3 linked regions of the Kluyveromyces lactis genome follow. The protein of the gene in region 3 purifies or fractionates together with the protein of the main gene of each other region. This does not show direct contact. Links are inferred from orthologs where the notes say so. Each region holds a gene or a part of one and is shown on either strand. Other genes may lie near its edges.

The links.
Region 1: the proteins of SCP160 (region 3) and ASC1 purify together in Saccharomyces cerevisiae (affinity purification with mass spectrometry; 3 studies listed by BioGRID). This does not show direct contact. The link is inferred for Kluyveromyces lactis from reciprocal best matches to the Saccharomyces cerevisiae genes SCP160 and ASC1.
Region 2: the proteins of SCP160 (region 3) and BFR1 purify together in Saccharomyces cerevisiae (affinity purification with western blotting; 6 studies listed by BioGRID, with this or other methods). This does not show direct contact. The link is inferred for Kluyveromyces lactis from reciprocal best matches to the Saccharomyces cerevisiae genes SCP160 and BFR1.

The regions. Positions count from the first base shown.
Region 1 is NC_006041.1:1,085,374-1,088,810, forward strand, and holds ASC1 (40S ribosomal protein RACK1), read left to right. Parts: upstream 1-1,404; coding exon 1,405-1,956; intron 1,957-2,097; exon of another isoform or gene 2,098-2,189; intron 2,190-2,356; coding exon 2,357-2,785; downstream 2,786-3,437. Other genes in the region: APL2 (Apl2p), read right to left, coding at 1-755; HEK2 (Hek2p), read left to right, coding at 3,437-3,437. UniProt on the Saccharomyces cerevisiae protein: Component of the ribosome, a large ribonucleoprotein complex responsible for the synthesis of proteins in the cell.
Region 2 is NC_006042.1:82,744-86,181, forward strand, and holds BFR1 (Bfr1p), read right to left. Parts: upstream 1,987-3,438; coding exon 583-1,986; downstream 1-582. Other genes in the region: Ca(2+)-dependent cysteine protease MCA1, read left to right, coding at 1-292; isopentenyl-diphosphate delta-isomerase IDI1, read left to right, coding at 2,890-3,438. UniProt on the Saccharomyces cerevisiae protein: Implicated in secretion, nuclear segregation and in maintenance of cell size.
Region 3 is NC_006040.1:203,750-207,507, reverse strand, and holds the start of SCP160 (Scp160p), read left to right. Parts: upstream 1-1,444; coding exon 1,445-3,758. Other genes in the region: KLLA0_D02420g (CAP domain-containing protein), read left to right, coding at 326-964. UniProt on the Saccharomyces cerevisiae protein: Involved in the control of mitotic chromosome transmission. Required during cell division for faithful partitioning of the ER-nuclear envelope membranes which, in S.cerevisiae, enclose the duplicated chromosomes.

The sequences.
Region 1 (3,437 bases), on a different chromosome or scaffold from region 3:
TCTTGAGACTCCATAGGGTCAATTGGTTTGTGTTCGCTCAATGACTCCAAAATAGTGATTCTTGCCCATTCTGTACATTCGTTCAACACGTTCAAAAACCTCTTAACGTTTTGAGATACTAATTTCTTGATATCTATTGAACCAGGGTCCAATTCGTTAATTTCGTGCAGTGCGGCAAGCGCGTTGGCAACAACCATTGGATTATCGTCAGACAAAGCGTCTTGCAAATCGTTCAATACGCCCAATTCACGGCATAGGTCCGGGTTCAATTGGAACAATTTTGCAACGCATAGTACCGCGGTTCTTCTCACGTACGGATTATCATCGACTAGAGTCTTTCTTAGCGGAATCTCAATGTATTCCAAGATCTTATCAACTCTGATCATCGACATGGTACGGATTGCCATAGACCTAATCAATGGGTTCGGATCAGCTGCATCGCTGACGAATGTGTTCACGACAAGGATGCATAACTCCGGATGAGTTTCTGCATAATTAGCCACGTAAAGGTATACCAATTTCTTCTGTTCAATGTCTTGAGTGGCTATATTCTTCAAAACGTCGGGAAACAAAGATGAAACATCTTTGCCGGAAGTCATCTGTTGAATAATCTTACGGATCGCGTCCTTTCGGGTCTGTGGGTACTGAGATACTAATCCATTTCGTAGTTCAAACAATTCACCTTTATTGGAAATCTTAGGAGCCACTCGTATGGCGTCTCTTAAGAACTTCTTGATCTTCTTATCAACACCCATTGTTTCCCTTGGTATTTATGAGAAAGCAGAGCAAGCAATTGGCTGGAGGAAGGAAGACTAATCGCTTGGGGACAGAGTCTTGAATATAAACAGGTTCATCTATTTATATACAGATTCCAGTTAATTTGATTGATGTTTTCTATGAATACTGGAAAGTGAAAGCTTGCTGGCGAGGTCACGTGTGTGCTCACGTGTATCGGAAGATTCCGTAACCCGGACATCATATGATGTCCGGGTTACGGTATTGAGAGATCTCACTTCCTAATAAGAATGGTTACTACCTGATTAGGGAAATTGCTAAGGGAGATTCACACTTCTGCGTAAATTCTTACGCACCGCAGTGTGGTGTACTGATATACCCGACTTTTTATAAAAACACAGTCCTCAGAGTTGCCAGACCAAAAGATACGCGCGACACCCTTACACCATTCAGCGTACCACTCAGCACGCACCACGCACATTGAAAAAAAATTCTTTTCTAGCCAAAGCTCATCACTTGAATATTGAGAAAGTATTAAGAACTTGATATAACTTGCAAGAGTTTACTGCATTAGTATTAAGCTATCAGTTCTTGTTGATTGAAATTGTTATCTATTCTCTTCTTTTGATTCATCAGAACAACACATCTCAAGGAATTAACTGAAAAGAAATGTCTTCCAGCAATATTATGCTTGTTTTGAGAGGTACCCTAGAAGGTCACAACGGCTGGGTCACCTCTTTGTCTACCTCTGCTGCTCAACCAAACTTGTTGGTTTCTGGTTCCAGAGATAAGACTTTGATCTCCTGGAGATTGACCGAAAACGAACAACAATTCGGTGTCCCAGTTAGATCTTACAAGGGTCACTCTCACATCGTTCAAGATGTTGTTGTCTCTGCTGACGGTAACTACGCCGTTTCTGCTTCTTGGGATAAGACCTTGAGATTGTGGAACTTGGCTACTGGTAACTCTGAAGCTAGATTTGTTGGTCACACCGGTGATGTTTTGTCCGTTGCCATTGATGCTAACTCTTCTAAGATTATCTCTGCTTCCAGAGATAAGACCATCAGAGTTTGGAACACTGTCGGTGACTGTGCCTACGTCTTGTTGGGTCACACCGACTGGGTTACCAAGGTCAGAGTTGCTCCAAAGAACTTGGAAGACGGTGAAGTCGATGACGGTAGAATCACTTTCGTTTCTGCTGGTATGGACAAGATCGTTAGAGTATGTGCCAGACTTTTTTCTTTTATTGCATTGCATTGCATTGCCTATCTCCCGATTAGATTGATTTACCTTGGAATTCAGGTCCTCAGTTGTTTCCCCGTAATATATTCTCAAAATACATGGCTCAATTCACTATACTATGACAAATGATGTTTCTTATATTTGCTACTTCAGACGTAACCTTACATGGTTTCGAATGAGACATACTAATTATCACCAAGATCTCTGATGTCTTTTTAATTAGTGAATTAAAATTTTGAATTGAGTTTTGTGCATTTGAATATCATGGAGCGAGCAATTTGGGCCTGTATTCCCAGATATATCTCATGGCTTTGAACCAAATATCATTTTTACTAACAATATTTTGGGAATTATCTTCCATTCCCCTTATTAACTACAGTCCTGGTCTTTGAACGAAGACTCTTACAGAATCGAAGCTGATTTCATCGGTCACAACAACTACATCAACGTTGTTCAACCATCCCCAGATGGATCTCTAGCTGCTTCTGCTGGTAAGGACGGTCAAATCTACGTCTGGAACTTGAAGCACAAGAGCGCCTTCATGAACTTCGACGCTAAGGACGAAGTCTTTGCTTTGGCCTTCTCTCCATCCAGATTCTGGTTGACCGCTGCTACTGCTTCTGGTATCAAGATCTACGACTTGGAAAACGAAGTCTTGATCGACGAATTGAAGCCAGAATTTGCTGGTTACACCAAGGCTCAAGACCCACACGCCGTTTCTTTGGCTTGGTCTGCTGATGGTCAAACTTTGTTCGCCGGTTACACCGACAACGTCATCAGAGTTTGGCAAGTCATGACCGCCAACTAAGTTGTAGCAATTTAAAATCTCTTAATTTTGCTTTTATTCCCTACAATTTATTCTTGGTCGTCGTCATTACCAATAAATCATAACATAAATCCCTTATGTATATATTAGTTATACAAAAACTTACATTATAATATTAGATCTCCCCTCGGTTAATCTGTCTTATAAGAGTTCCGATATTGTTATCTTAGCTTATTATTATGTTTTCAATGGTTTCTACCTATACATGCATAATATGCATTTCGGTTAGGCAAAACCGTGGCACAGGGCTATTCCAAGGGCAACCCGGTACCTTAGCTTCCCTTTCTTCATATCACCCTTTCTTTCTCTCTCTTCCTGGCGAAAACGCAGAAACTCGTACTCTATCTATAATGGCAATTCTATTTACTTTTTGAACTTTTACCGTTCACTTTAAACCTCTTTGCAAAATATTCCGTTTCAATTAAAATTTTTCATATTAACAAACTTAAACTTACATTAGCTTAGGTTGGACTGGACTTGGTTCTTCTACTGCTCATATTGTTTTTGTGTATTCAGATTATATTTGCTACTGTAAATTGTAAATTGTAAATTAAACCATTTGTTTCTTTGTTCGTTTTAAAAGGTACAAGAATATCACTCTAATATTTACAGGACAGATCATATCCAAAAATTA
Region 2 (3,438 bases), on a different chromosome or scaffold from region 3:
GTCCAATAATAACGTCGACAGAGAAAGAGTTAAGCAAATAAAATTCTCGCCAGCTGATGTCATCATGTTTAGTGGTTCAAAAGATAATCAAACGTCGGCTGATGCTACTGAAAATGGTCAAAACACTGGTGCAATGTCCTGGGCTTTCTTAACAGTACTATCAAAACAACCTCAACAGTCCTACTTAAGCTTATTGCAAAATATGAGAGCCGAGTTAAGTAGCAAATACACTCAAAAGCCCCAATTATCTTGTTCGCATGAAATCGATACCAATCTTCAGTTCCTACTATGATATTGGAGTCTTAATCTTATTGCAATCAAGTATACGATGGTATTATAACGTGCTTTCTTTAAAAGATTATATAAGAATATCCAAACATAAACCTACATATAATCAATTCAGTTTCTGTTTAAGATGCTAATATAATTTAGAAGTCATGGGGGTCATTTTGTTATGAGGACACTCCAGATGAAACATTTTAATCTTTTCCAGCCGATAAGTTTTAATATGTACTTGAAATACAAGAATGAAAAAGGCAAGCAGTGGACAACAGAAAAAAATAAGTCTCGTATCTACATCAGTTAAGCTTCAGTTGGGACAGCGGCATCAGCGGCAGCAGCGTCCTCCTTTTCCTTTTGTTCCTTCAATTTTTTGGCTTCAATTTCTTCCTTAACTTTCTGTTCTTTAGCTTCGTACTCTAAGTTAAGTTTCTTGAGCTGTTCTTCAGCTTCTGCAATGTTCTTTTCAGTAGCTTCTGGTTGCTTGGCAGTCAAGTCCTCATGCTTAGCCTTCAACTGTTCAACAGTGGCTGGAACATCGCCCTTGGATAATGGTACTCTGATATCTAATTCGGCCAACAAGGCGATCATGGATGGCTCTAGAGAGAACTTTGTAGATTGCGCCTTCTTCTTGTGTTTCTTTGATTTGGAAGCGGTTGAAGCGGAGAAGAATCCTTCTCTTTCCTTAACGATTGGCACTAACCCTTCAGAATCAACAGTCTTAGTTGGGGTGGCAGTTTGTTGAGATGTGCTACCGAAATCGATACCCAAGACGTTCTTCACTGGCTTAACGTAAGTTGGATCCAAAACAGTCAACATATTCTCAATGGATTCCAATTCGAAGGTGAAAGCAGGCTGTTTGGCATGGTTTAGTCTTTCTTGTAGCTTGCCCACTTTTTCTTCCTTATCTTCTAAGATCTTGGATAGTTTTTCGTCTTCTTCACGTTTCAAACGCTGCTCATCCAACTTCTTCTTGAATGACTTGAATTCGTTGTCGAAATCACCTCTGATCTTCCTAATTTGAGTGTAGATTTCGTCACGCTTGTTGTACAAGGCAGAACGCTTAGTGATTAAAGTCTTTCTCTTGTCGTAAACAACTTGGTTCTTAGAGTTTAAGTTATTGATCTGACCTTGGATAGTTTCGAACTTTGCGGCAACCTCCTTCGGGTTAGAAGCGTTCAATTCCTTCTTCAAAGCATCAATTTGTTCTTTCTCTTCTTCGATAGATTTTCTAATTGGTTCCACAACTTGGAAATCTTTGGACAATTTGTGCAAACTTTGCATTTCCTTGACTCTTAACCTTTCCTCCACCAAGGATAAGTCACCAGAAGCGATTTCATCGTCAATTTCAGCCAATCTTTGCTTGATTTGACCAACATTTTGGAACTTCTTGTTCTTACCGACCAAATCGTTGATCTCACCAGATTTACGTTTGATTTGAGCATCCAAGAACTTAATCTGGTCATGGATTTGTTGTCTCTTAGCCTTCAAGTCCGATTGAGTTTTGATCACTTCCTTCAATTCACCTTGCAGCTTTTCCTTTGAATTCTTAGCATCTTTGGAGAAATCGGTATTATCAATTTGTTGCTTGATCAATGATAATTCTTGATCAATCTTCTTCAACTGAACATTCAATGGCTCTAGCTTCTTGTCTCTGACAGTAACATCAGGTTTCTGAATATGTTGTTTTGGTCTAGCAGTGGACATCCTTGTAATATATTATTATTCTATGGTTATTCACTTGGTCACCTGGAACTAGCAACTGAAACAAGTAACACAAAACAGACTGGTGGAAAAGGTTACAGTTAAAAAGAAAACTTTAAGTATAGAAATGGTAACTTAATAACACTAATTGAACTGAAAAAATACTGTCTCAATTAACGTATCTCAAACACAACCTTTGTAGATCAAGAATTTGATTCTGTTCAAGAATCTGAAATTTTTAACACGTTTGAATAATTTTTCAACGTTCAATTAAAAAAATATCGAATCTTTCCCAAAAGCTTTTTTTTTCTGGAAGACACCACGAATCTTCTTACAGATCAACAGTGCTCTCAGACGGATCGGACCTTTTGTGTGTATTATTCCCTCCGGAACATGACAAAGCTTGAGCTTCAATCTGGGTAGACAATATATTCTGGTCATTTACAAATTTTCGTTTACTACACAGCTTCTCATCCTTCTAATTAAGTTTCCTACTCTTCCATTGTAATACGTAGGTGATCCTCAGCGACAATTTCCGGTTACTGTCGTTTGAGATTTTTCTATATTAAATAAAACTGGGACATTTCTCTCACAGTGTGTTAGTTCATTGCAAAGCTTCAACAAATGGAATAAGAAATGGACAACAGCAGCAGCCTACTGTGTCACTATTGGTAGCATCTCGAATCGCGTGTCTTTCGTATAAAAGTTTCCATTATTTGGCCGATACCGAAATGCAAACAAAAAAAAAATTAGATTTAACGAACAATTTAAAAGAAGAAAAGTTGAGCTCATTCTGCTTTAAAGAATCTTCGAAAACCATCTTGCGGAATAAAGCTAAGCGTATGCATCCTGTAGGACGTGCAGGAATTTCAAACTGAACCTTCACTTAGCGGACCAACAGAAGAGATGTCAACTCAAACTTCTACCTATGCGGACCTTGTGCATTCATTAGAACAAGATGACATCTTAGAAAAGTTTCCTGAGGTCATCCCATTGAACAACAGACCAAATACACATTCTACTGAATCCTCTGGCGAAACGGATAATTTGCTAGATGGATATGATGAGGAACAAATCAGATTGATGAATGAAAATTGTATAGTTTTGGATTGGAACGATACTGCGATTGGTGCTGGTACAAAAAAACTATGTCATTTGATGGAGAACATCAACCAAGGTCTATTACATCGCGCATTTTCTGTGTTCCTTTTTGACAGCGATGGTAAATTACTATTACAACAACGTGCCACTGAAAAGATTACTTTTGCAGATCTTTGGACCAACACATGCTGTTCACACCCTTTGTGCGTCGATGACGAACTTGGACTGAACGGCTCTTTGGAAAGTAAAATAGAGGGTGCCAGAACTGCAGCAGTTAGAAAATTGGAACATGAACTAGGTATCCCACCACAAGAGGTTGAATCTAAAGGAGAATTCCACTTTTTGAACCGTATT
Region 3 (3,758 bases):
TTTCAGTTCTCAGACAGGAAGATGGTAGATTATCGTTTGATTATCCCGGTCGTCTGCTGGCGTCACTATCTTATTTTACTCTAGAATTCAGTCCGTATTTTTTAGATACCTTTTGTCGTTTTATGTATACGTTTTTATACCCTATCAGTTTTCTTGCAAATTCCATACAATCCTGGAACACAGAGCTATCGGCAGAGCTTGCAACTTGATAGCTTATAAACAGGGCCATTAATGTTTCTGGTTTTCGAATGGCTTAAGTATCTATAACCCTTGAGGCATAATTTTTCAGATAGATAAACTTCGGAAATAGAGCAACACCTGCCAAATGAATCAGGTTTACTGGCTCATATTGGTGGTACTAATCCACGCAAAAATCTTGTGTCATGCACAGGGTATAACAGTGACAAAATACAACACTGTTCGAATAATAAGAACGAAAACCGTCTCAACGACAACACATTTCACAACTTCAAGAACAATTGTTTACAGAACAGCCTCCGGCACCTTCACGGAACAAGTGTCCACAAAACCAACGGCCACGGACCCGGATTTCAAAACGGAAATCCTGGACGTGCACAACTCATTACGCAAGAAACATCAGGTTTCATCGCTAGTTTGGGCTCCAGAACTTGCATCTAGAGCACAAAATTTCGCCAATTCTTACGTATGCAACGGGCAATTAGAACACTCAAAGCTGCCTTACGGAGAGAACCTTGCTCTAGGATATAATACTACCTCAGCTGTTCTAGCATGGTATAACGAGGTAAAACTGTACGATTTTAACAACCCACAGTTCGCAGCAAATACAGGACATTTCACCCAGCTGGTATGGAAAAATACCTCGAAACTTGGCTGTGCATTTATACGATGTGGCCAGTATTACGGTCAATATACAGTATGCGAATACGACCCACCGGGGAATGTAATCGGAAAGTTCAGTGAAAATGTCTTACCCGAGAAGTAAAATAGAAAACTGTCCGATGACAGAAGACTTGATAAGCGTTGGTTGATTCTTTCCCTTGCAAATCACGAACTCAGGGTAACCAACACTTCTCCTTTCTTTTCACGGGCTTTCACACGATTTGGATCGTTGTTCTTTTCGAAGCTTCGACAATATGAAGAAATAAGAAGTGAAATTCAGTTAGAGAAAAGAAGGTTTAAAATATAAAAATAGTTAAACTTTGAATCATAGATACCGGTTTCAAGCCACCTAGATTAGCCGAATAAGTGAATTGTGGGATCAATTGGTGTACTATAGAATATACTCAACCGTTTTTCTGTATCATAGTCGTGTGTGTTTGCTTTTTCTCTTTTATTTCCTGTGCTTAATACTCAATCACTCACTATATTGAATATTAGTTAAGGGTATTTGTTTGTTTGTTACTGATTTTTTAGTTTTTGATTTACTGCTTTGTTATAACCGGACCTTCCTTTATTTTCAATAATGTCTGAAATCACTCCTGATGTTGCTGAAGATTATTCTCAAATCGTGGTAGATACGCCACCTTCTTCTGCTGATGATTCGTCGAAATTAGCTGGCCAAACAATTGAACAAACTGAAAAGTCTAATGGTGAAGAAGCTGCCACTGCGCCAGCGGTCAAGGTTTTATTTCCAAGATTGGGAGGAAATGCTGCTGCGTCTGCTTCTGGCAATGCTGTCTCCTGGGGGTCTACTCTGAAATCAGGTAGCTCCGTTAACAGTGTCTCTTCTCTTTCCCATGGCAAAAACGGACGTGCTTCTTCACCTGGTTCTGCTAAGCCATTGCGTTCGAGAAACATTCAGGAAGTGTTCTCGCTAGACTTAGATGCACAATACCAAATCACAAAGACCGAATTCTCCAGCATCGTTCAGTCTGTTAAACAAAAGTACGATGTCTCTGTGGAATCCACACTATCAAAGACTTCGCGTACTTTCTTGATCTCTGGTTCTTCTGACAAGATTGGTCTTGCTAAGAGAGAGTTGGTCAAGAAGTTGACTAAACCTGTCAATGTGACTTTTGAAGTTCCTTCAAAAACTAGATCTGCCATTATCGGATCTGGTGGTAAGACCATCAGAGCAATCTCAGATGCTGCTGGTGTAAAAATCGTGGTTCCGAAGGAGGTTGATGAGGGTACCTACGATTCAGATTTGGAAGACTATTCAGTAACCATCTCTTTACACGGCGATGCTGAATCTGTTCTCGTTGCAAAGAGTAAGATCTTGGACGTCGTGAAGGAGGAAACTAAAAACGCCAAGATTGTTCTTCCTGTCGAGGACTCCAAGTTGGTTCCCTTCATCGATCTAGAATCAGTTGAAATTCCAGCTGATGTAAAGGCGCAGCTGTTTACAAACAATGACCCCGCTGAAATCGCATTAAATGGTCCTCGTGATAATGTTAAATTGGCCAAGGTTAAGGTGATCAACTATTTGAACGAATTGGGTCTAAAGATCGTGGTGAAAAAGGAAAAGGTCCCATTCAAATTCCATCCTTTGGTAAAGCCTTCAGAATTGAATGAGAAGTTCCACGTCGAAGTACAAGCTCCAAGTATTTCCGGCGATGATCAATTCGTTTTCATCGGAAGCTCTGACAACGTCAATGAGGCCATCGTGTACGCTAAGAACTCATCTAAATTCCATACCGTGGAATCATTGGAAATTTCAAAAGCTCATGGTAAAAACGTTAAACATGCTAAGAACTTGATTCTATACTTCCAAAAATATAACGTCTTAGATCAAATTACCGAAGACTTCCCACAAGTGCAAGTAGTTTTACCTAAAGTGGAAAGTATTCCAGCATTGGAATCCGTCAGTATTACCTTAATTTCAAACAACGATGCCGCAGACGCTATCAAGACCGTTCGTAAACAAATTGTAGCTTTGGTTAATGAATTATCTCCAGAACAAACGTTAACTATTTCAGATTTGGATTATCATCTATTCCACAAGGACATCAAGCAAATCTTGGTCTCGACTGAAAGTGATGTCCCATTCATTCAATTGGGTGACTGTTTCCCAGGTAATGACGATATCTTACTAATCACCAAGATCAATGAAGATGATTTCAAGCCATCTGATGATGAACTAAAAGTTAAGCTGGAATCGGTCAACCAACAATTGGAACCAATCAGAAAGAAGCAAAGCCTTTTAGCATCCAATGTTGTTTCCCTTGCCAAAAAAGAACAGGATGAACTACTCGGAGAATCAAAAGTCACTTTGAACTTGATCAATGAAGCTGTTTCTCATGCTGGCGCTCATGCTTTAATCAAGTTGAGCACCCCTTCAGTCAACCAAATTACTATCAGAGGTGATGACCATGGATGTAAGATTGCTTCCGCTGCTGTCAAGTCCATCGTCGAGAATTCATCAACAGAATCCAAGATCACATTCCAAGTTCCAACCAATGTAGTTTCGAGATTGATTGGTCCAAAGGGTGCTAACTTACAACAAATTCGTGAAAAGTTTGACGTTCAAACTTTCATCCCACAAGATTCTAAGGATGAGAATACCGATGTTACATTGACCGGTTTGCAATACAATCTTGACCAAGCGAAAACATATATTCTAGCAGAAGCTAAAAAATGGTCCGATATTATCACTAAGGAATTAATCGTCCCTATGAAGTACCACCGTACATTAAGTGGACCTCAAGGCACTTATCGTATCCGTTTGGAGAACAAGTACTCCGTTTTCATCAGATTTCCTAAGGACAGTGAGTTAGTCACCATCAGAGGTCCATCTCGTGGTGTCAAAGCCGCTTATGATGAACTGAAGGCTCTTT